Arabidopsis thaliana: one gene and its partners. The protein of the gene in region 2 interacts with the protein of the main gene of each other region in a pairwise test. Each region holds a gene or a part of one and is shown on either strand. Other genes may lie near its edges.

Evidence for each region.
Region 1: the proteins of BOA (region 2) and ZAT7 interact in a two-hybrid assay, tested with the Arabidopsis thaliana proteins (one large-scale study listed by BioGRID).
Region 3: the proteins of BOA (region 2) and AT5G01380 interact in a two-hybrid assay, tested with the Arabidopsis thaliana proteins (one large-scale study listed by BioGRID).

What each region holds. Positions count from the first base shown.
Region 1 is NC_003074.8:16,923,461-16,929,563, forward strand, and holds ZAT7 (C2H2 and C2HC zinc fingers superfamily protein), read right to left. Parts: upstream 3,424-6,103; 5' UTR 3,351-3,423; coding exon 2,844-3,350; 3' UTR 2,421-2,843; downstream 1-2,420. Other genes in the region: AT3G46086 (uncharacterized protein), read right to left, coding at 1,682-1,798; HRS1 (Histidyl-tRNA synthetase 1), read right to left, coding at 4,984-5,286, 5,382-5,510, 5,585-5,727, 5,809-5,926, 6,071-6,103.
Region 2 is NC_003076.8:24,000,348-24,009,668, forward strand, and holds BOA (Homeodomain-like superfamily protein), read left to right. Parts: upstream 1-3,540; 5' UTR 3,541-3,699; coding exon 3,700-4,596; 3' UTR 4,597-4,639; intron 4,640-4,813; 3' UTR 4,814-5,006; exon of another isoform or gene 5,007-5,888; 3' UTR 5,889-5,891; coding exon of another isoform or gene 5,892-6,775; 3' UTR 6,776-6,864; coding exon of another isoform or gene 6,865-7,342; 3' UTR 7,343-7,497; downstream 7,498-9,321. Other genes in the region: SRR1 (sensitivity to red light reduced protein (SRR1)), read right to left, coding at 400-1,227; UGT76E1 (UDP-glucosyl transferase 76E1), read right to left, coding at 5,892-6,775, 6,865-7,342; UGT76E2 (UDP-glucosyl transferase 76E2), read right to left, coding at 8,805-9,321. UniProt on the Arabidopsis thaliana protein: Transcription factor that is a critical component of the regulatory circuit of the circadian clock. Binds to specific sites on CCA1 promoter leading to CCA1 activation.
Region 3 is NC_003076.8:153,190-160,557, forward strand, and holds AT5G01380 (Homeodomain-like superfamily protein), read right to left. Parts: upstream 4,413-7,368; 5' UTR 4,263-4,412; coding exon 3,927-4,262; intron 3,231-3,926; coding exon 2,595-3,230; 3' UTR 2,421-2,594; downstream 1-2,420. Other genes in the region: ACI1 (ALC-interacting protein 1), read left to right, coding at 1-334, 772-1,106; AT5G01390 (DNAJ heat shock family protein), read right to left, coding at 7,311-7,368. UniProt on the Arabidopsis thaliana protein: Probable transcription factor that binds specifically to the core DNA sequence 5'-GTTAC-3'.

The DNA.
Region 1 (6,103 bases), on a different chromosome or scaffold from region 2:
AAGAAAAATGAAATCAGCAGTCGTTATACGTTAGTTAAGGAAAAAGGAATGTTCTTGGTGCTTTCCTCCACAAAAAAATACAATATTTTGAAGTTTAGAAGAACAAATTAAATTAGTTGGAAAAAAAGAAAAAGAATAACAAGTTATTAATTATTATCTTCTTTTTTTGGTCGTTAAAGTTATTAAATTCTTGTCTAGAAGTTTACTCTTCAACGATAATTTACTTGCTAACTTATCCACAGTCTACATCTATAGAACTTTTCCTAGGTTGGATAGTCAATATTTTTATTCGTTAAACTTATCTACTAATTTAGTTACTAGTCATAGATTATTCATTTTTATATAATTAGAGCATCTCCAATATTAAAATATCATTATTTTAGTTTAATTTAATTGTATAACTAAAATTTAATTTTAAAACAAGTGATACACAAATGAGAGAGTGACAAATGTCAATAAGAGTTTTTGTTTAGATATCAAAGGTTATCAAAGAAGAACTCTTTCTCATTTCTCTTTCCAATTTTTTTTATTATTTTTACATGAAATATCTTGTTTGCATACTCCCATTGTAGATGTTCTTACAATTTCTATACGTAACTCGATTTTTTTTTTCATATTATATGCTTATAATATTTTATTATTTATCATCTTATGTGGTAACTCGGGCAGCAACTCGATTAATCTGTAGATAGAAAAATTTGTAGGTACAAATTTAAACACATTAAACTAAAGATTTGAAGTAAAATCGAGAGATAAATAATCCAACAGAAGTAAAAATTTAACTAGAAGAGGAACAAATTTTACACATTGCTATTAGTCAGCTACCACCTCTCCACCACCGCTGAATATATATTTAGAAAACGTCGTACTCTTTGTATATAGAAAACGTCATACTCCACCAAACTATGGTATAGGAGGGAATTTTATCTGGACTATTTAAGACAACGAAATTACCTACAACTTCATATATATGCTGTTATATCTCCAGATCACCGATTGAATTACGACTGAACAAAGAAAATAACTATGGTGTACATATTTTCTAAGGGTGGCCACGGGACGTGTACTTTTGAATTTTGAGGTATCCTTTATTTAATACGATCTTTATGGGTACTAATTGTTTTTACTTTTACTTTATCCGTAAATTACAGATACTCGGTAAAAATAGTGATACCCGACCCTTTACCTTTGTACATCTATTTTGTGCTAATTCATGTGTAATGTTTTTCGTAGATGCATAATCATTTCATATACAAAGACATATATGCAACATACAATTCTAAAAGATATAAAATTACAAACATAGATTTTAACTTTCATTTTAGAAAGTATTTATAAAATTTTAGTAATATTGTAAAACACTAATAAAACGGGTAACTATGAGTGATCTCGTAGTAAAGCGGGTAACATGACAGATAATTAAAAAGAAATTAATATCCGATACACGATCCTTATCCACGAGTAATAGATTTATAACACATTACCGAACTGAAGGTTACAGTTACCCTTTTTGTGAAACGGGTAAAAGATCGAATACGGGTATCAACTATCAAGTATCAGTGTCAGCCCTAATATATTCTAGACTACATATTTTTTTTTTTTTTTACTACGATTGTGAGTTATCTCGAGATAAGTTTGTTGAAAAAGAAAGGTGACTGCAACTTGAAAATGCTGAATTGCGCTAGACTTTTAGCTCTAGAAGCCATTCACTGGAGGTCCGAGGATGGGCCGTCCACGGCAGAAACTCAAAGTCCCCGATCACATACTCCTTATACACACACCTTATAATCTTTCTCATAGGTTAGCTACTTACCTGTATAGTTTATTCAGATCGTCTCATTCTAAAAAACCAATATAAGATTTTCTCACAGTAACGTACATGAGGGACAAGTAGAGATATGTGGCTCTCGCACGAGTCGCCGAGAAGGGAACGAATAGAAAGTGTGAAAAGAGTGGTTATATGGAAACTAGAGAGAAACTTTAAGAAGCAAAGCAGAAGAAAATAAGAAAATGAGAGAGTGATTTGATGCGACATTTTTGATACACTTCCATGCGGTTTCTTCTTACCACACACATCTTCACAAGATTAAATCCACAAAGTTTTATCTCTCATATTCATCTCCCATTAGATAAATATGTATAGCAATTATCATACCATCCATATAAGATTATATATATATATATATATATATATATATAATTAACAAAAATATTATGTATAAAACATTTGGTTGTTGAAGTTTACTACATAAGTTTACCTGATTATTTATATGTGCTAGCTCGACTGTTCAATTTTAAACTTCATTATTTCTACACTATTGGAATCTCAATCCAATGATTCAATATGTAGTTTGACGATTACAGATTTGAATAATTGGTAATTCTTTTAATATTAGTACTAGATAACCTTAAGATAACGGGTGCCAAAAAACTGAAAAAAAAGAAAAACCGTAGACAACATTTAGGAATCATAACTACTTATATTAGAATGATCCAAACTAAGTTCAGCTTATAGAACAATTTCTTAGTTGCATTTCTTCCCTTGGATATGCGATTCTTGTAAGAGAGCAAGGGAGGTTGGATAGCTTAATCTCGTCTCTGGTTATACTTCTTCAATGAGTTCTTGTTTTTCTAGTTGACCACACTAATGATATAGTTCTTACACTACTTAAAACCATTGATATAGCTCAACCTTCAAGGGTTAATTTAAAGAAACCAAAAAAATTAGTAAACCGTAAAAGAAATTTCGGATATTGTATCAAAATAATATTCACATCGATCGGTACGATAATTGGATCAACAAAGATTACAAAATCATGTGAAACTGTATACAACCCAAAAACTTAACTCCAAGAAATCGTTCTTCCCAACTCCAACTTCCAATTGACCAAACTCTCCATCGAATCTAAGTCCAAATCCAAACAAGCCACTCTCTTCCCACTACTAAATTTCTTCAAAGCCGTCACCGTCGTCGTCTCCGGTAGAAAAGAACGTGTAACCAACGAGCCTGAGACTTTCTCGTTCCTATGTCTCCTCATGTGACCACCAAGAGCTTGTCCCATCGGAAACTTCACTCCACATATCGGACAAGGATGAGACGTTTTAGTTTTCTTGTTGGACAAGGATCCAAGAAGTGATGGATTGTCACTGTTGATAAGTTTCTTGTGGCTTGCACGATGACCTCCCAAAGCTTGAAACGATGAGAACTCTTTAAGACAAGTCTTGCATCGGAAAACACGTTCATCTCCCCCGCAGCCGCCGCCGCATTCTCCGACTCTTGATAACAACATCAAACATTTCGCAGTCGTATCTTCTTCCACTATCACAATTTCCTCACTTCTCGCAACCATTTTGAATCGACTTAGTGACTTCTAGGGTTTTGATTTTTTTTTTCCTTTCTATGATCGGTTTTTTAGTTTGTGTGTGTTGTGTGATGAGTACTCCTATTTATATACTAGAATCTAGTTTAGTTAATATTAATTGACGAAAATACCCATTGTGCTTGCTGCGTAAGTAAGCTAAAGTGTAAGGAAATATGATTATTAGCGTCACCGCGTCACGCGTAACACTTAGGAGACTCAGAAAAATGAAAAAGTCAAGTGTTACGAAAAGGAATGTTCTTGGTGCTTTCCTCCACAAAATACAATATTTGAAGACTACTAGAACAACTTATTATCTTTCTCATTGGTCGTCGAAGTTATTAAAATCTGGTTCGTGCATATTTTTTTTTTGACGTCGGTTCATGCATTTTTAAGCCGTCTTCTAGATTTTTTTTTTGTGAACTTAAATCTTCTATATGGATAGAGCAAATGAATGTATTTGCTGACTTATCCATACACAGTCTTGATGCATCTAGAATATTCTTGGTTGGATAGTCGATATTATTCGTTAAGTTTATCAACGAATAATTTAATAACTCATCAAAAATCGAACTAGGTGTCTCTATAACCTCATTTTTTTGGAAGGATAAGAGATTCCCCCACTAGATCAAATCCCCACTTGGTGTTTTATGTGTTGCTGTTTTTTTCGGAGGCATTTTTGGAATGTTTTGGCTGGGACCATCTTGTGATAAATACATCATACACTCTCCAACAAAAGACCAAACTAGGGTATAGAACGCAATATTATCTGGACAAATTAAGACTAACGAAACTACCTACAACTTTATATGTGTTGTTATGTTTATTATCTCCATATGATCACCGATTGAAATACGACTGTTTGGATACCATATATATATATATATATATATATATATATATATATCTTAATTCATGTCAACTTCTAAACAACACATAAATAGTGGCATGTACCTTACGATATACCTTGTAAATTAATCAATGTCAATTTGTTGTACGTTCTTGCTCTCTTTTTAATAGATTTTCTGTATAATCTTTGTAACTTCTGTCATATATCATATCATCCTCGCAGTAACGTACATATGAGAGACAAGAAGAGGTGTGTGTGTGTGTTTCTCGGAAAGATGAGAATTGAGGACGCGGTTGTACGGTAACTAGAGAGAAATGTTTGGAAGCAAAAATCAGAAGAAAACAAGGAAAGGAGAAAGTGATATGATGCGAGACTTTTGATACATTTCCACACGGTTTCTTCTTAGAACACACAACACCTCTTCACAAGTTGTTTTCCACTAAATTTCTCTCGCATATTCATCCTCCAGTAGAGAAACATGTATATAGCATAATATCTATACAAGATCATTAGTATAAACACTTTGATTGTTGAAGTTTACTACACCTAATTAAGAGTTCTACAAGCATCTTATTCTTACCCTGATAATATAATAAGATCAAATTTAGCTTTTTAAACATGTTTACTTAATTATATTCGATCCATAATTGTATTCCCGAATCAATAATTCAATACTTTTGACGAATAAGAGATTTGAATGATTGGTTCTTTTACTATAGTAAGCCGTAAGGAGAATGAAACAATGGTTCATCATGTTAATAAAGCCTTAAGATACTACTCTAAGTCACTGAGTTTGACTTGGAACTGCTCACCTGAAGACAACACCTTAACACTGACCGAACCATCTTCCCACTCTGTTTTCCCAACCAGAACCAGCCTTCTTGCGTTTACCCGAGCTGCTCTCTTGAACACCCATTTCAGCGGTTTACTCTCTAATACCAAATCAACGGTTTGGCCTTTGTCTCTGAGAGCTGTTGCAACTGTGGCTGCAGCTCCTTGGAGATCTTTGTCCAACGCACACACTATGTTCTCTACTTCTTGTCCCAGTTCTGGCAACAAATCCTTCTCTTTGAGCAACTAAATGAAAGTGGCAAAAATAAGAACCAGATATTCAGAGACCCACAACTATTCGCTGCGGGTTATAATAGTGACCAGAAGCAAATTTAACTTACTTCAACTATTACAGCATCGCCGAAACCAAAACCACAAGCAGGAAAGTCATCACCTCCATAAGTAGAGAGTAACCTATCATATCTCCCACCACCACATATAGCTCGCAGCTTCCCTTTTCGATCAAATCCCTATCACAAAACGTTGTCTATCAGTTGCTATTACAAAACTATAGACCAGTATCCATGTATGGAGAAAATCTAACCTCGAAGACGATACCAGTGTAATAAGCAAGACCGCGCACAACAGATGCATCAAACTGTATCCACTCTGAATAACCAAACTTTTCAGCAAGTGAGAAGAGTTGTTTCAAATCTGCAATGGCTTCTCCTGCTCCACCAATTATATCTGCTTATACAAATTAGAGATTCTTATCAGCAGAAAATTTCGGAGAAAAGGACTCACCAGAAAAATAATGGAAGGACATACCTTCCAAATCATCCAAGGACTTCACAGAAAGCACTTGCAGTAATTGTTCAATAGCATCTTCTGATATCCCCGTGAACCCAAGTTCCTTTTTTATTTCATCAATTGGTATCTTTTCTATCTATTTAGCATGCAACATAAAAAAAATAGGGTGACAAAATCAGTAACAACAGTAACATTCCTAAAGCTGGAGTATTTAATTATATCAGCAAATGAAGTAGCCTTGATTTCAAAGCAGTAGTATATTGATGTTTAGACTACGAACCTTGTCTATAATGATACAAACTCTTCCAAACAG
Region 2 (9,321 bases):
ATAACTCAATATAAGGGATGTAATGCTTTCTTAATAAATTGACCATATTATCAAAAGTTAAAAACAAACGAAAAGAAAAGTTCCTCAACTATTTTTCTTCTCTTTTTGTTTGCAAGTTGCAACCAATGAAAATAGATAGACAAATCGTAATGATGGCAACTGATTACCATCTTAAAGACTAGAAACACAAATACAATTGATTGACATAGAAATAAACCACGGTTTGCATCTTTATTATGATCAGACAAGCATTAAATTTTATTGACTGCATTGATAAGTCAATAACTTCAATTGTTTTGCCCGCCTTGAAGGCTAAGATTATGCAAGGAGGAAAAAGACAGATAAACAAAATGTTGCACAAGTGAAAATCAAAAAGCTTTTGAAAACAATGATCTAAAATTAGTCTGAAACGAACAATGGCAGCTCCGAATCTATACCAGAACTGAAAAAATGCCAGCTTGAATCATGGAATGCTGCAAAATAATCATCTGATTCCGTCTCAATAGCAAACTCGCTTGTGACTCTTTGTGCAGCTATGATTCGTTTGGTAGCACAGATGACTTCTGCGTCAAATGAAACTTGCTCCTCATACATCTGAAAGCTGTTCCCAAACAATGCGATTTTCGACAGTCGATCCATTCTCCAATTTGCTTGCAATAGGTTGCTGTATAGATTGGCCTCACAGTGTGGCATGAAGAAAAGAGTAGGCTTTAAAGCTTCCCTACGAGCTTGCTCATTCACAGATAGAACACTGCATCCCAAAGATTCTAGGTAACTAGATTCAGTTGCAGAGAGAACTGGGTCAAACACTTCAATGTTATCACCAACCCAATCAAACTCTCTCTTCATCAAGATTGCAATGCTCAGCTGAAACCTCGGAGATTCATAAGACTCAATGCTACCTATACCGTACATCACCATCTGCAACTGTGTTTCAGACCCTAACACGAGGCGAATCTGATTCGAAACCTCAGGAGACTTAAGCTGCTCCAAGAATGCTGTGTAAAAACTCGAGCTTTCGATTTTCTTCAGAGAGATTTCCATCTTCTGCTTTAGTCTTGCTTGTCTCTGTGGATCAATTTCAAGATCATCTGATTTCCATGGTTGCTCTTCTTCTTCTGCTTGACCTTTAGGTTTCGGTTTTCTTCTTCTTCCTTGTCTTCCTTTACTAGGTAAGACTACTTTCCACTCACCATCACTGCTTGAGTTTTTAACAGTCGTTTCCATTGAAGCTTCCACAAGAAACTGGTTTTCCTGATCTACTTACTCCACAGTCCCCCAAAATTAGGGTTTCTACTCAATGCAATGATTCCATTGGTTCCGATTACCTAACATCACAATAAATTTCGATTCCTAAACCTAATTATCAATCTCTTTGCTTAACTCTGATCTATCTACTTTGAGATTGACAAAAATCTTCGATACCGAGCAAAATTAAACTTACGATTAGAGACGAAAACACAGGAGGAAGATCGAAGAAGCTTGCTTGAAATACAGAGGAAGCAAAGAACGCTTCGAATATGTGGTGACCGAGTGGACTCAGTGAGACATTTGTGAGTTTGGTGCGCCGAGTCGCGCGGCGATAAAGTGAATCAGATGATTTGTACGCGAAGATTTGGTAAACAGGTATTGGGCTAGAGGAAATGGAATGGGTCTAGATACGGCCCAATAAAGGCGCGAGATAGAGACAACTGAAGTCTTGTTTCCTGTTATTTCTTTTGATTTTGTTTTACTAATCTAAATATACTAAATCAGCAGTCAATTTTCCAATAACTGATGCATTCAGTGATTGACACATCAGCTTAGTACTACTTTTTTATTTTTTCATTTTTACGCATAGTATGTGTCGTTTTTATTTAACTTTGTTTCATTCTCAAACGATTTTCTCTTTCATCCCCACGATCTCCACATCTCCACTTTCTCTCTTCCAAAAACTCCATGACTACTGTGTAAAATCTCAAAGATGGGTTTCTCAACATCATTAATCGATTACTCAGAAATCAGGTACTTTGTTCATCTCAATGAACCAATTTACCATCTTCTATTTTTGTTTGTAATTTTGTTTTATATATATAGAATTCTCCATAGATCCGAAAATCATATATCCTTCTTCTAGATTTCTATGGCTTTTTTTTTTTTTTGCTTTGTTTCTGCTTTATTTGACTGAATTCGATTTCTCTCATACATCTCCATTTTTCCATAGGATTATTCTTTAATACAATCAATGCCTATGATTCTCCCGTCTCACAAACACTCAAAGAACAACGACAAATTTTGGCTTCTCATCTGAACAGTTGCCTTAAAACAAGGGTGAGTTTAATATCTTAATCGAAGCTCAAGTGTTTTTTTAATGGTAAATTAATTCTCATACTTTTTACTATTCTTCTTTCATCTCTTATTTTACTTCTTTATATTTGCAATTTCTTTTTTGTATTAAACCGCAATTGTATTTTCACGCAAGATTTTTGTATTAATACAAATACTTCAATTTTAAAGTCATCTCTTATTTTACTTCTTTATATCTGCAATATCTTTGATATTGTTTCAAAGGCAGCGTCTGCGTTATGTAGTTACTTACTTGTGCACATTTTACATTTTTTTTTAGACTTCCAAGCTTTGGGTGTCAACGAATGTTTGTAAACTGAATTACTGATGATGAGAAGAAGAACACATTACAATTGGTTGGAGCTAATGATGAAATAAGCGGACATGTATATACCCAGCATAATTTTCGTACTTATACTCTCTTATATTTCTAAACTCTTGATTTGTTAGTTACTGTCTATCGCAATTGATTCATTGGGTAGAAAAGTTGTACCTTCTTTATATCTTTTTCTTAATCTTTGTATATTCTTCAGTCAATGATAATAAATTTGTTGTATATTTATGCTGTCTGCTTTATTTTAAAAATCTTAGTTAAGAGTTGTAGCAGATATAATTTAAAACAATGTTGTCCCTGCATAGTAGGGGCCAAATGCTAGTAGTAGTTTAAAAGTAAAGTACGTAAAATAAAATAACGTGTATTTTTCATTATAGGAAATGTAGTTTAGGCCGTTATTGTTCTTTTTCATTATAAAATAACGTGTATTTTATGTGTTGCTGTTTAACCCTAAACTCAGACAGCGAATGTTGAGTTCCGATGCAGTGGTGTATGGTTTGCGGATACAGTAAAACTTTTATAAATTAATAATATTAGAATTGCGAAATTTTGTTAATTTAAACAAATATTAATTTATAGAGAAATTTTTTAAATTTAATAATTGTTTTAAAAATTGAACTCTTTTCGTAGCCCAAACCCACCGGTATTGAACTCTTTTTGGCCCACTTAGCCACGTTAAAGGGTCACTTGTTACTAGTTGTAATTGCAACTATCTGCCTAAACCGTCGTGCCTTTTGTCTACATTCTAGAACCATGCACTAATGACGTGGCTGGAGATAAGTTGGTTGATTACACACGTGTCACTTAGACAGAGCGAGTAGACTTTGATGCGGGTAAAAGATATTTTAGATTATCTAGCTCGCTAGGCCACGTTGGCGGATATTTGCACTTTTTCTTTTTTTAAAAAGAAAAAAAACTAGGCTCTACGAATTTTCCGGTCACCTTCTCCGATCTCTGATCCGATATTTTTCCACATGTTGTTGAGCTTTAAAGGATTTGAAACCGTTATGAAAGTTATGAAAACGAAGAGTGTGTGAAACATGGGGAAGGAAGTTATGGTGAGCGATTACGGTGACGACGACGGAGAAGACGCCGGCGGCGGCGATGAATATAGGATTCCGGAATGGGAAATTGGTTTACCCAACGGAGATGATTTGACTCCGTTATCTCAATATCTAGTCCCGTCGATTCTCGCGTTAGCTTTCAGCATGATCCCAGAACGAAGCCGTACAATTCACGACGTCAATCGCGCGTCGCAAATCACGCTCTCTTCGTTGAGAAGCAGTACCAATGCTTCGTCTGTGATGGAGGAGGTCGTGGATCGAGTTGAATCGAGTGTTCCAGGATCAGATCCGAAGAAACAGAAGAAATCGGATGGTGGTGAAGCAGCGGCGGTGGAGGATTCCACGGCGGAGGAAGGAGACTCCGGGCCTGAAGACGCGTCTGGGAAGACATCGAAACGACCGCGTTTAGTGTGGACACCGCAGCTACACAAGAGATTTGTGGACGTTGTGGCTCATCTAGGGATTAAAAACGCAGTGCCGAAGACGATTATGCAGCTGATGAACGTGGAAGGACTTACTCGTGAGAACGTTGCGTCTCATTTGCAGAAATATAGGCTTTACCTTAAACGGATTCAAGGATTGACGACGGAAGAAGATCCTTATTCGTCGTCGGATCAGCTCTTCTCTTCAACGCCGGTTCCTCCACAGAGCTTTCAAGACGGCGGAGGAAGTAACGGAAAGTTGGGGGTTCCGGTTCCGGTTCCGTCGATGGTGCCTATTCCAGGCTATGGGAATCAAATGGGTATGCAAGGATATTATCAACAGTATAGTAACCATGGCAATGAATCAAACCAATATATGATGCAGCAGAATAAGTTTGGAACAATGGTGACATATCCTTCTGTTGGTGGTGGTGACGTGAATGACAAGTAAATGGATCTTAAAGGTCTATAATTTGCTCTACAGAGAGATACTGGTGAGCTTGTTTTCGTCTTCTTCTTTGAGATTCTTATTCTTTGATGTTTGTTCATGTTACTAGCAAAGTGTTACAATTTTCTTGGTAGAGTGTTATGGTCAAATCCTAGTTTGGTGTTGTTATATATTTACTCTGTCTTTGCAAGTAGTTGATCTTAATTGATTCTTGTTACAGGTTCTTGGCTTATGGTTTATTTTCCCACTTCATGAGGTTGTTGTGACTTTTAATTCTCCATGTTTTCCACACAAGTCTTTATTGCCTTTGTATAGAAAATGATTTCGAGAAAATCACTGGGAAGCTTGGTATTGTTGGAGGATGAAGCCTTCTATGAATGATTTAGTTTCCTACTGTCTCCATTCTTTATGAGGTAATAAAGCCTTCTTTTGCTCATCGCTTGTAGTCTTCTTAAATTCAAGACAGCGTCACATGTTTGTTCGGTTATGTTAATTGTTTCTTTCTTTGGATAATGAAGATAGCATCAGGTCTCATGTCTCCTCACTTTGATAAATATCTCTTTCATTTATCATTTTCTTCTATTAAAATAGTTTTTCTCTTTCTTAAGAAAAGTATCTTTTGATTGTGTTGGATGGTCATACACCAATTAACTCCCAACCACAAGGAAGAAAGTGACATTTCAACCATAAGCTCGTGTTTCTTTGCCCACAATGAGTTAGTAGTTTTAGCCTTTTAGCCATATAGTTTTCATTTGGTAAATAATCTGTTAAGATCTTTAAATCTGCAAACTAGATGAGAATCCATAGAATATTTCTGTGACCAATGTAGAGTCGCCATTAGAAGATCACTTTTCACCTCTCTGTTTTGTTTCATTCAAAAGATGTTTCTCTAACGTTATCTTCATATTACTTCTTTGTGGGTCACTCGTGTCTCCTCTACCCTTCCTAAACTTACAACAACTGACTCAAACTGTCCTTGAAATTTCCAATGCGCCAGTCTTTTCATGGGACTTAGTTGAGCTGTTTAGTTTGGTGACAGTGAAATATTATTAAAGTAACCTAAATGAAAGTTTCAAGTGGTTGAAACGTGGCCTCAGCAACTGTAATGGAGAAGCCCAAGCTCTTTATCTCTTATCATGTGAACAATGATTTTGTCTATAAATGCAGAAACTCTTTTATTTTTAGATACAACTGCCAAAACATTACTCTAAAAATAGAAACCATCTCCTTTTATGCCATTTGATTCATGATGATTATAAAGAATCTCTTCTGATACAGTTTTGACTTCAAAACAGGGACTACATGAAATTCATCATTTTTAAGGAATTGACAAAGTTGTCTAATGAGCTGAATGAGGAACCTCTACTCTTGACAGAGGCTTGAAGCTTCTCTTTCAAGTTGATAACTCTCTTCCTCATTTCTGCTCCTTCTTCATCCATAATCAATCTCTCTACAGCTCTCTCCACTGTTCCTTTATCCAGCTCTCCTTCCAATTGAACCCCAATTCTCCAAACTCTCTCTAAGTACCTCGCATTGACTTTCTGATCTCCCGTAAAAGGCCTACAGATCATCGGAACTCCTTCCCCGATGCTCTCTAGGGTCGAGTTCCATCCGCAGTGACTCCAAAACCCTCCCACTGCAGGATGTCTGAGAACTTCTATCTGTGGTGCCCATTTCACAATGTAACCTCTTTCTGAAACCAACCTACTGAATTCCTCCGGTAAAGACTCTGTCCATTCCGAGCCGGGAATAGAACCCGGTCGGATCACCCATAAGAAAGGTTGGTTGCTATTACGTAAACCCCAAGCCATCTCCAACATGTCTTTAGTTTCCATTAGAGCCAAGCTTCCCAAACTTATGTAAATCACTGAGCCTATTTTTTGCTTGTTCAACCACTCAAGGCAACTCCTGTCCTCTTCAAGTAAACTAGAAGGCGCTGAAGCTGCAATGTGAAGTGGGCCTATAGGATACACTGGAACTTGCAGTTGTTTTTGTAACCATGCCAAAGATGAGCTCTCTAGACAGCTTGTTGAGTTGATGATAACTGCCGAAGCTGTTCGAATGTTGACAGTCTCACTGTAAACCTTGAGTATACTCTCTAATGGCCCAAATGCTGAAGTTGGCAGGTCCTTGTACCTTAGCGGATGCAACCCTGGAAATTCCTTGTCTGACACTTTGGGATCTGCAAAGCAAACAACAGCATTTGGATTGGTTTATATACCTAAATGCACTTTTAAAGTTTGAGTTAACAAGCTAAAAAATCTTGAGTACCTTTCATGTCAAGCAAGAATGACTCTGCGTTGACTCTAGACAAAACAGAGCGACAGACAAAGGCAGTAGCACTTGTCGTGCTGAAGAGGACGCTAGGAAGTTGAAACTCTTTAACTGCAGCTTGGGAGAAGTACATGTACTCATCGTAGACGACACAAGCGATATCATTACCTTGCTCCTGCAATAGTTGACCAATACATTGCTTGAAGCTTGCCTCGCAAATTTGATTGAGCTTGAAGAGAAACTTGAATGGTCCAAGGTTTTTGAGATCAGACTCGGTCAAGCTGCCTGGGATGGTGAGGAAATGAAAATCAGAGAAGTCCTTGGATGAGCTAACTCGATTATACTGTGTGAGAACAACAGTGATGGAGAAGCCCTTGGAGTAAAGAGCCTTCCCGAGTTGCATAATCGGAGTTACATGACCTTGTGCTGGAACTGGAACCAATACTATCCTTCTCTTCACTCCTAGTTCTTCCATTGTTTTTCTCTCTTGGAGTCTTGGTCTCTCTCTTTTTTTGGTCAATGTGTGAATGGAAAAATCTCAAAGACACATAAGGATGCTTAAATGCTTGAACCAGATCTAATTAATATGAAATATAGCACGTGGGATATATATTAACTGTTTCATTGGTCTCATCGACATGTTATTTATTTTTATCCCTAAGTGGAAAATTATGAGGTTAGGGAAAGATCTCAACATTGTGGAAGGAAGGACATACCACAAGAAAAAGCACGTGGAGTATATAAACTAGACAAAGAATTCCCAAAGTTACAAGGAAGTGACAAATTTGGTGACTAGCACCATTTAAGGCTTCCTTTTGTCATTTTCTTTATTAAGTTTGTTGTCTTGTTTTGGACCATTTTTCTAATTAAGTCTACCTCTATCATTTATTTACTTATTTTCCCTCTTGCTTAAGGTTAACATATAATTTCATGTCTGAACATAACAACTAGCACACTCGTTTAAATTATGTCGACGTACGTACACCTTAGAATTTCATTTCTGAACATGACATCTAACCACTGTAGCTGCCGCGTTGCCGTAATTCGGATTCATAACTTTGTAGTGTGGATGTATAGACGCGGCAAAAGACAAAGGATTTTGTATTTTTGTAGTTTACTTGACCAACATGTTATTTATCTAACTTCCTTCAAACCGTTGTTTTCTTATCAAACAAGATCATTACTTTTGATAGTAACAAAACCGTGATCTTCTAGTCCACCGAGTAGCCGTGGATCTCCTGCCCTGCTTCATATTCACAAGTGAGGTACAAGCAGGCAAAATGCTAGTAATCGTTGTTGAATTTGGATATAATATTCATGAGCCAACATCTGTTTAAAAGCATCAAGAGCTTTCTCATTCTGAAAATTATGTACAAGGACTTAAATAGTATAATTCTAAGACACAACCTCTGGCTTGTGACCATCAAAACGAGTTCGATTAAAGTAACTCAAAAGTAGTTGAGTTGGCGACAAAGTGAAATTAATTGGAGTAACTTAAAAGGGTTCAAGTAAAAATAGTTGATTTGGTATGGTGTCAAAGTGAAAATAATTTGCAGTAACTTTAAGAGTTCAAGTAAAAAATAGTTGAGCTGTTTGGTATAGTGACAAAGTGAAAATAATTGATGTAACTTCGAGGGTTTAAGTGATTGAATTTGGTCTAAGAAACTGTAATGGAGAAGCACAACATCTTTTATCTCTTATCCTGTTTGAGAGTAACTTAAAATAATGCTTCTGTATCCAAATGCAGAAACTCCTTTTTTTTTTTTTTGACAACAACGTAAAAATTCTTATTATAGAGACAACTTCCAAATATTACACTTAAAATAGAATTCATGTCCTGTATATCATCTTGATGCACTTTCGACTTTGACTAGGGACCTTATTTTTTTCTTTTTTTGCTAAGAGACTAGGGACTATCTTATCTCCCTTCATCATCTTCACATGGAATTAACAAAGTCGTCTAGTGAGCTGCATGAGGAACCTCCACTTCTAACAGAGGTTTCAATCTTTTCTTTCAAGTCAATGGCTCTCTTCCTCATTTCTGCTCCTTCTTCATCCACAAGCAACCACTCTACAGCTCTCTCCACAGTTTCTTTATCCAGATCTCCCTCCAATTGAACCCCAATTCTCCAAACTCTCTCTAAGTACCTCGCATTGACTTTCTGATCCCCGGTGAAAGGCCTACATATCATCGGAACTCCTTCCCCGATGCTCTCTACTGTTGAGTTCCATCCACAGTGACTCCAAAACCCTCCTACTGCAGGATGTCTGAGAACTTCCATCTGCGGAGCCCATTTCACAATGTAACCTCTTTCTGAAACCAACCTATTGAATTCCTCTGGTAAGGACTCTGTCCATTCTGACCCCGGAATAGAGCCCGGTCTGACCACCCATAAGAAAGGTTGGTTGCTATTACTTAATCCCCAAGCCATCTCCAACATGTCTTTGGTGTCC
Region 3 (7,368 bases), about 24 Mb from region 2:
CCATTGCCACCTTCGGCGCCGAAGAAGAAGGAGAACGAGAAAGTTGCTAAGAAGTTTAAAGATGAGCCGAGGAAAGTTGCGAAGAAGAAGAAGAGTGAGAATCGAAATGACGTTAACGGAGCCAAGAAAGTTCGTTGGTTTCTTTCTCCATCTAAGAGTAAGTCGTCGTCGGAGAAGACTGCGCTTCTAGGAGAATCAAAGAATATTCGGGCTGATGAGTTTATCGGAAAAGAGAGTGAGTCGCCGGAGAATAAGTCTAACGCGAGTCCGGTTTCGGTTCTTGATCGAGATCTTTATGATTATCTAATCCTTGACGATGATTACTACTTCTCAGGTGAGTCTACGAAATAATATTCAAACATTTTTATCTCTCGAACAAATATTTGAACTTAATTAATTGCTTTTTGAACCTTCTTTGAAATTTTGCGAAAAGAATCATCTCATGTGAGTAGTTTCCTACTTTAACTGCAAATGAGGTAAAAATTTGGTCATTTGGTCAACATTTTAACCGATTCAGTACACTTTATTTGAAATACTAAATAATAAGATTATTCAAAATTTGACCAATATAAGAATTTTCCTTAAACGTTGGATTTATTTGAAAAATGATTAAATTTAACCAATATAAGAACATTTTCGCTTTTAACATTTTTCTTGATTTTACTGTAAAAAAAGCTGCGAAAATGAGACTTTCTCAACATTTTCGAGAAATTTTATTTTTATTTGCCCAATCATATTTTAAACGTCACTTTAATTTGAAAAATAAAACAGGAGGAGATTCAGAAAGTGCATCGGAGTTGTCAACAAAGCAAGTAGAGACAGCAACAAAATCTTCATGTTCTTCATCACCAGCAAAAACAAAAACAAGTACCAAGAAAGAAAACAACAATAGCACCAACAATGATTCAGAAGAGACAGAGTTTATCACAAAACTAATGAATATGCTCTCAGATCTGTCTGAAGAAGACATGAAGTCTTCCACTTGGGTTTCTACTTCGTCAACTAAACCCGTTGACTTTACTCAGGTCGAAGATTTTTGTGTCGAATTTGGTCAAGAGATTCTTGACCTTGTTATGGACCAGCTAGTTGATGAACTCTGTATCTAGTTTAAATTCCCAATTATCAGAAATATGTCGTTTTAAAATCTTGTAATCCAAATGTTAACCAGAGACTCACAACAATCGAAATTTTCATCACTCCATATTTTCTAAAAGTGTTATGCGGCCAATATAAGTTATTGACCAGAAAAATTATGGTTAACATTTATGATTAGTACTAAAGACTATAATGTACTCGTCTTAAATAGTCCTATAGACAAATATACCTATCCAAAACACAAGTATGTATATGGCGAATATCACCAAATAAGCACAAGGATAATCTTAGTGACTCGAATACTCGATCATAAGAATGAAATTAAATTCAAATTCGATATGACGAATTATCAAATGCATTATAAATACATGTAGTGGGTCCAAAAACGGTCAAATCGGTTTTCTTCTGAATTTTGGAGAGCTCCGTAACTTCGAAATACGTACTGTCTCCTTTATGTCTATTTCACATGCAAATCATGGTCTCCTTCTAACGTTACTTCTTTGACGTTTTTTTGTACTTTTCTGTGTTTTTTTTGGGGGGTTCACATGTAAAATTCAAGAACATTTTCCCACTCTAAATTATTTAAGTTTCGAATTATAATTATTTCATTTAGTCATAAACTATTTTTTTGCCAACGAAAAAGTGGTAAATATTGAAGGTCCTTGTATTCGAACTGGTGACCTCACAGAGTTGGTCACACGGCTCTATACAATTGAGCTGACGCGGCGTATTAGTAATACGTGTTTTTTAAAATGAACGGATATATTAGTGTGAACGCGTTATAACACGGTTTCATGTTTTCGGTATTTTTATCTGTTGGTAGCTGTCTTGCAAGAGAAGAAAAGAATAAAAATAACAAATTCTTTCTTTACAATTTACTTATGAACAAAATAAGTTTTATATATCACACAAATAACGCGGTGAAGTAATGTGGGACAAATGTGAATTGAAAGTTTTGGAATAAAGACTTTTGTTTAATTCTTGTTTATCGCCTGATTAATCGTTATGAAATATTCTTATTAACAGAATAAAGTAGCTAAAAGTATTCAACCAATTTGGTTTTGGACACCTATAACTATGAACAATATAATTCAAACTAGCATATCTAATTAATATCTATACAATTGTTTTATGCATGTACGTAAACTATTAAATGATTTATTAATTCTTATTCTTATCGTTTAGTTAATTCACATGTTACCTTATATTATATTTAGTAATTGCCTGCTCGTTTTACTCCCTCTCTATTTATTTTTCTTCCTCTAATATTGAAGGTTTATTTTTCTCCACCAGGATTTTTTTTGTTTTTAGAAGGATAAATTCATTTTCATACCACGATAACATATATCAAAATTTGAACATTTATCTTTCTTTTTGGAAATTTCAATAGTTCATATAAATATTATAAAACAAACATTAATTTAGATATATTATCTAAATTGATTTGCCTAACAAATTAACTAGCTAATTAACTTATGCTTAACACAAATAATGAGAACTTAGAAACCTTGATTATGATGATCATCATTATGATCTCTATTAAGCCTATTAAGCAAAGCATCGATGAGAGAATCTCTCTTCTGAGCCCTAGCTTCTTCTCTCAACCGTCTCTCTTCCTCTCTCTCCATCCACCTCCTTTCTGTGGCGGCTCTTTCCTCCTCTAGCTCCGCCATTCTCCTCCGCCACTCTTTCTCTCTCTTCTCCCTCTCTATCTCCTTCATCTCCCATGCATCTCTCCATTCCTTTTCCATCTTCACCGTTTGCCTCATAAACTCCTCCAATATATCTTTTAGTGTATTACCCGCAGTTTCAGCTTTCGTACCACTCGCAACGCCTTTTCCTTTTTTTGCACGTTTTCTTGGATTGGTCGAAGTACTAGTAGTAATCACTTCTGTCTCTCTTTTCTGTGTCTCTACTAAAGACAATAATTCCTCGTTGATATCTTGATTTGGTTCGTCAACTTCTTCTTCTTCATCATCAGATGAAAATTGATGATGTTTTCTCTTCGAGGAAGTGCTTGGTTCTGTGGCTTCTGACCACAGCATTCTTTGCATTCTTGCTTCAAAAATCGACTGAATCTCATTGTAGAATGGGAACTGCTGCCTAATAGCATCTGGCTCAGTGGTCTCACACGCCTGTCCCATGAATATTCATTATGTTATATAAACAATTATATGTAAACACGTAATAGTACCGACGCAAAATATTTTAGCTAACCAAGTATCTTAACTCGAAATCATATATCATAGGAAAACAAAAACACATGTTCATCATCTATATCACGTTTCTTTTACCTTAAATAAATGTGTGTATAGACTTTTTCAACTATCTTCATGTGTTCATCAGTAACGGTTCTTATTAAATCTTATGCACCCGTTATATAACGGTAATTATATTTTTATGGCATATTGTGTTACTTACTTACCATGTGATCAACGAACAAAAAGAGAGATATTATGGTATAACGGATCAAAATGTGAACATAGACAATATCATGATGAAAGCTCACCAATAAACGCGTAAAATTCTATTCTATAGCTCGTTACCATTAATGACAGGACAATATCTAAAAAACCTAGGCGATTAGGTTAAGCTCATTAATTGATGTATATATAATGTAGTTCACCTATACATACACCATAAACTAGGTTTCCATTTCAATATGCATAATATCAGTCTAACCACACAAACTAGTGATGAAATACATGATACACATAATTATAGTTTGTATATACTTGTAATCATGATCATACTAAACATTTATAGGTGTATATATCGGGACTATATATAGAGAGAATCATCAATAGGATTCTAAAGAGTTGAAGGGTAACCTTGTATCTAGTGACGAGGTTCTTCCACTTGCTCTTACATTGTTCTGCGCTTCGGACAAAACCCTTGTCGGCCATCTTAGCAGCCACGACTTCCCAAAGAAGCTTATTACGTTTGGTCTCCATGAAAGTTTGATCAAGTTCTTCTCTTATAGCCAAAAGCTCCTTTGTCTCCTCTATGCTCCACTGTGGGATTCTCTCCCCACCTCCTCCTCCTCCGCCGGGATCCATCGTCGCCGTGGTGCTCAGCGGCGGCGGAGGAAGCTGTTGCTGTTGGATCAAGTGATGATGAAGCTGATGGTGGTGGTGGTGATGTTGGAAAGGGTTACGTCGGTCCATTATTTGGAATCGAATTGTCTTTGTGACGTGAAGAGAAGAAATAAGAGGGAGATAATTTTATTTTTTTGTTGGGTTACTTATAAATGAAGAGAGGTTTCATTGAAAAAAAGAAGAGAAGACAGAGAGGAAGGAGAGAAAAGAGAAGAATCTAATTAATTTATAAGGATGTGTGAAAAGAAGGTGTGAAATCGTAGAGGGACGATAGAAGTGTAGTTTTTTGTTCTTTTCTCTAATTAAAATTATTAAGATGAGATTTTTTAATAATTATTGAATATACTAGAACTTATAGAATTATTTAGTTGAATAAAATACGAACACGAATGACTCTTTTGGTGAAAAGGACACAATTCGTGATTACATTAAAAATAATAAAGCTTAGATATCCCTTTTTCGGATGATAAACTCTAGATTTAAAGCAGCTAACTAAATAATTCATACTTTTTTTTTCTTCGTATTCTAGAGTTTAAAAATAGCAATCTCAAACAATTACAGGGGTAACTTGCATCAGTTAAGAATATCTTAAGTAAAAACAATCGCCTTAATCTTAGAGTAAAATCAAACAATATGTTTTTTTTTGACAGATTGATTATTTGTGTGCATCATTCTAAACACGCTTTCAAATTTGTAAAGTTGTAGAACTATATTTTTACTGTATGGTTATTGTTTTTCCTTGATGATGATTTTGTGACCAAGCTCAAGTACTCAACTGTCTCGTATTTTTTGCATTTGGTAGTTATTCGTTAATAATTTGTCCCAATACATATAAATGTTGCGTTAATATTTCGTCACGCTTACGAGTTACGAGTCACAATCCGATTTTTATTCTTCAATCCGATTTAGCCTTTATGGTCAATTGACCCACTAGATTTTCCTCATCCCATAATTCTTGTATTTTTCTTTTGAAAAATTCATCGTAACAAAAGTAACCTAATGGTTGACAGACAAAATATATTAAATAAGCTATTGGATCAATATGCTTTTAGAAGTTTAGATTAGCCCCGTGTCATGGAGGAAGAGATCAGATATAAACAAAGAATTAGAGAATTGTTGTTAGCAAGTTTTACATAATAGATACCTAACGTTCCTATCAAAATAAAAAAGAAGAAGAATTAAGTTACAGAAAACAAGACTACCGTTATGATTAGCTAAGAAATTAATTTGATTGGAATTGTAAATTCCCCCAAGAAAAAAAGAAGACTATTCATTTATGGATTGTATGATATTTAGTATATGAATAAATGGAAATCGTTATATTCGCAGTCGGCACAAAACAAATAATGCGTACGAACAGAGAAAATGTACTCTTGTTCTGAAATGGTTTGGATCCAGTGCAATATACAACTGTCAGATTCCCAAACACACATATGGTAGTACATATTTAGAAGCCGCGTCATTGCAATGATATAACAAGTAAAACGTACGGTGAATGAAACTTGTAGGAGTAAATATTTTTTATTTGTATCTAAAGAAAGATTCGTCGGGGTTGTATTTTTGGCTCTGATATGTGTAAGAAATACTAGTACTACTCAGTAGTAAAAAAAAAAACAAAAAAAAGTCAGCGAAGTGGTCCAAATAGCGATGAAGCGTGTTGAAAGTAAATCAAAATCTTACATGACATGCACTAGACTTCGCTCCCACCTGTCATCCCACGTGGATTCACACCTTATTTATTTATACTAAATTAATAATAATGTCGACTACTCTAGTGAATGATCTTTAATTTTTCTAATTCTTATGTTCAAAATTTGTGGTCTTTAATTATTTAAAAGAGAAATTGTGAATGAAGGAATTTTCTGTGAACAAAAGAAAGAATAATCAGTATTTTTTAATTTTATTTAAATGGAATCAAATAATCAGCAACGCGGAGTGTTGTTATATTCCACGTGTAAACGCCCACCATGTTTGTCCACGTGGCCATCTCTCTCTCTGTCTTTCACTTTTTATTTTAACAAAGATTTTTGTTGGCTGATGTTTATCCGCTCAATACAAGTAGGCCACCTCATCATCCTTTTTATTTCCCATCCAAATTTTTGCTTAAAAGAATTGAAGTCTTAAAGCAAAGAACAAAAAAAAAACGTCAGCCAAAAGCATATATACAAAAATCAGCCTATTCGTGTTATTTAGAACTTTTGAGGTGAATGTTGTTTAGGGTATCGCTCCGGATTATTCGGAAATAGTAATAAGTTTAGTCTTTTACTTTTGCCGTAACTTGGTGAATGCACATGACTTCCATTTTTGAATTTGGAGTCACTGCAACAATACATTGTTGTTACAAATACCAAAAACCTTTCTCACTGTTTGTAATACTGCTGGTTTTGAACCAAGACCATGAAAATGATATTTCAGTTGATTGCAGAAACTCTTCTTGTTCTTGAAAACATTCAAATATTTGACTAAACTAAACTCGATCTGTGTTTATTTTTTTGAATCTATAAATCATACTAACTTTATGAATGAATATTACTAATTCGTACATGTGGAGATATGCAAGTAATTTGCCTAACCAGAACAATCAAAGAGGAACATACATTAGTCTGTTTTTTCTTCTTCTTATTATTTGACAAGTAACAACAATTATTCCATGTCAACATCAGCACGTGAGGGTTGAAAAGATTTTAGTGAAGGAATTAAACGGGACAAGGTCAAGAAGATTGAAGAATGTGAGAAAAACGTAGAGATTTGGATTTTTTAATCAACAAAAGAAAAAGGTTCTTCAAATTTCGCTACTATGATTAATCAATTTGAATTACATTTTGACATATTGTTAAACGTTGATTTAGTCTTTCCAAATCTGTTGACAATGTTTACTATTAAACAAATATTGAAGCTTTTAGCAAAGAGATATAAGGAGAGACTTTACTTCACTAGTCGTCAGTCATTACTAACTAAACCGGCATCATTTGGTGGTATGTATTTCCCTTAAAAACCTTACCAAAATGCAACCAAAATAAATTAAAAAAACCATAAGCACATATTCTGCTTCTAAAAGATTCCAAAAAAGCTAGCAGATTGAAAAAACTGAAACGAGATGCTTCAATCTTTGGACATTCAAGGTGATAACATCCGCTTGATCCCTGATTTCTGCTCAGTGGTTAGCTTCGAAGGG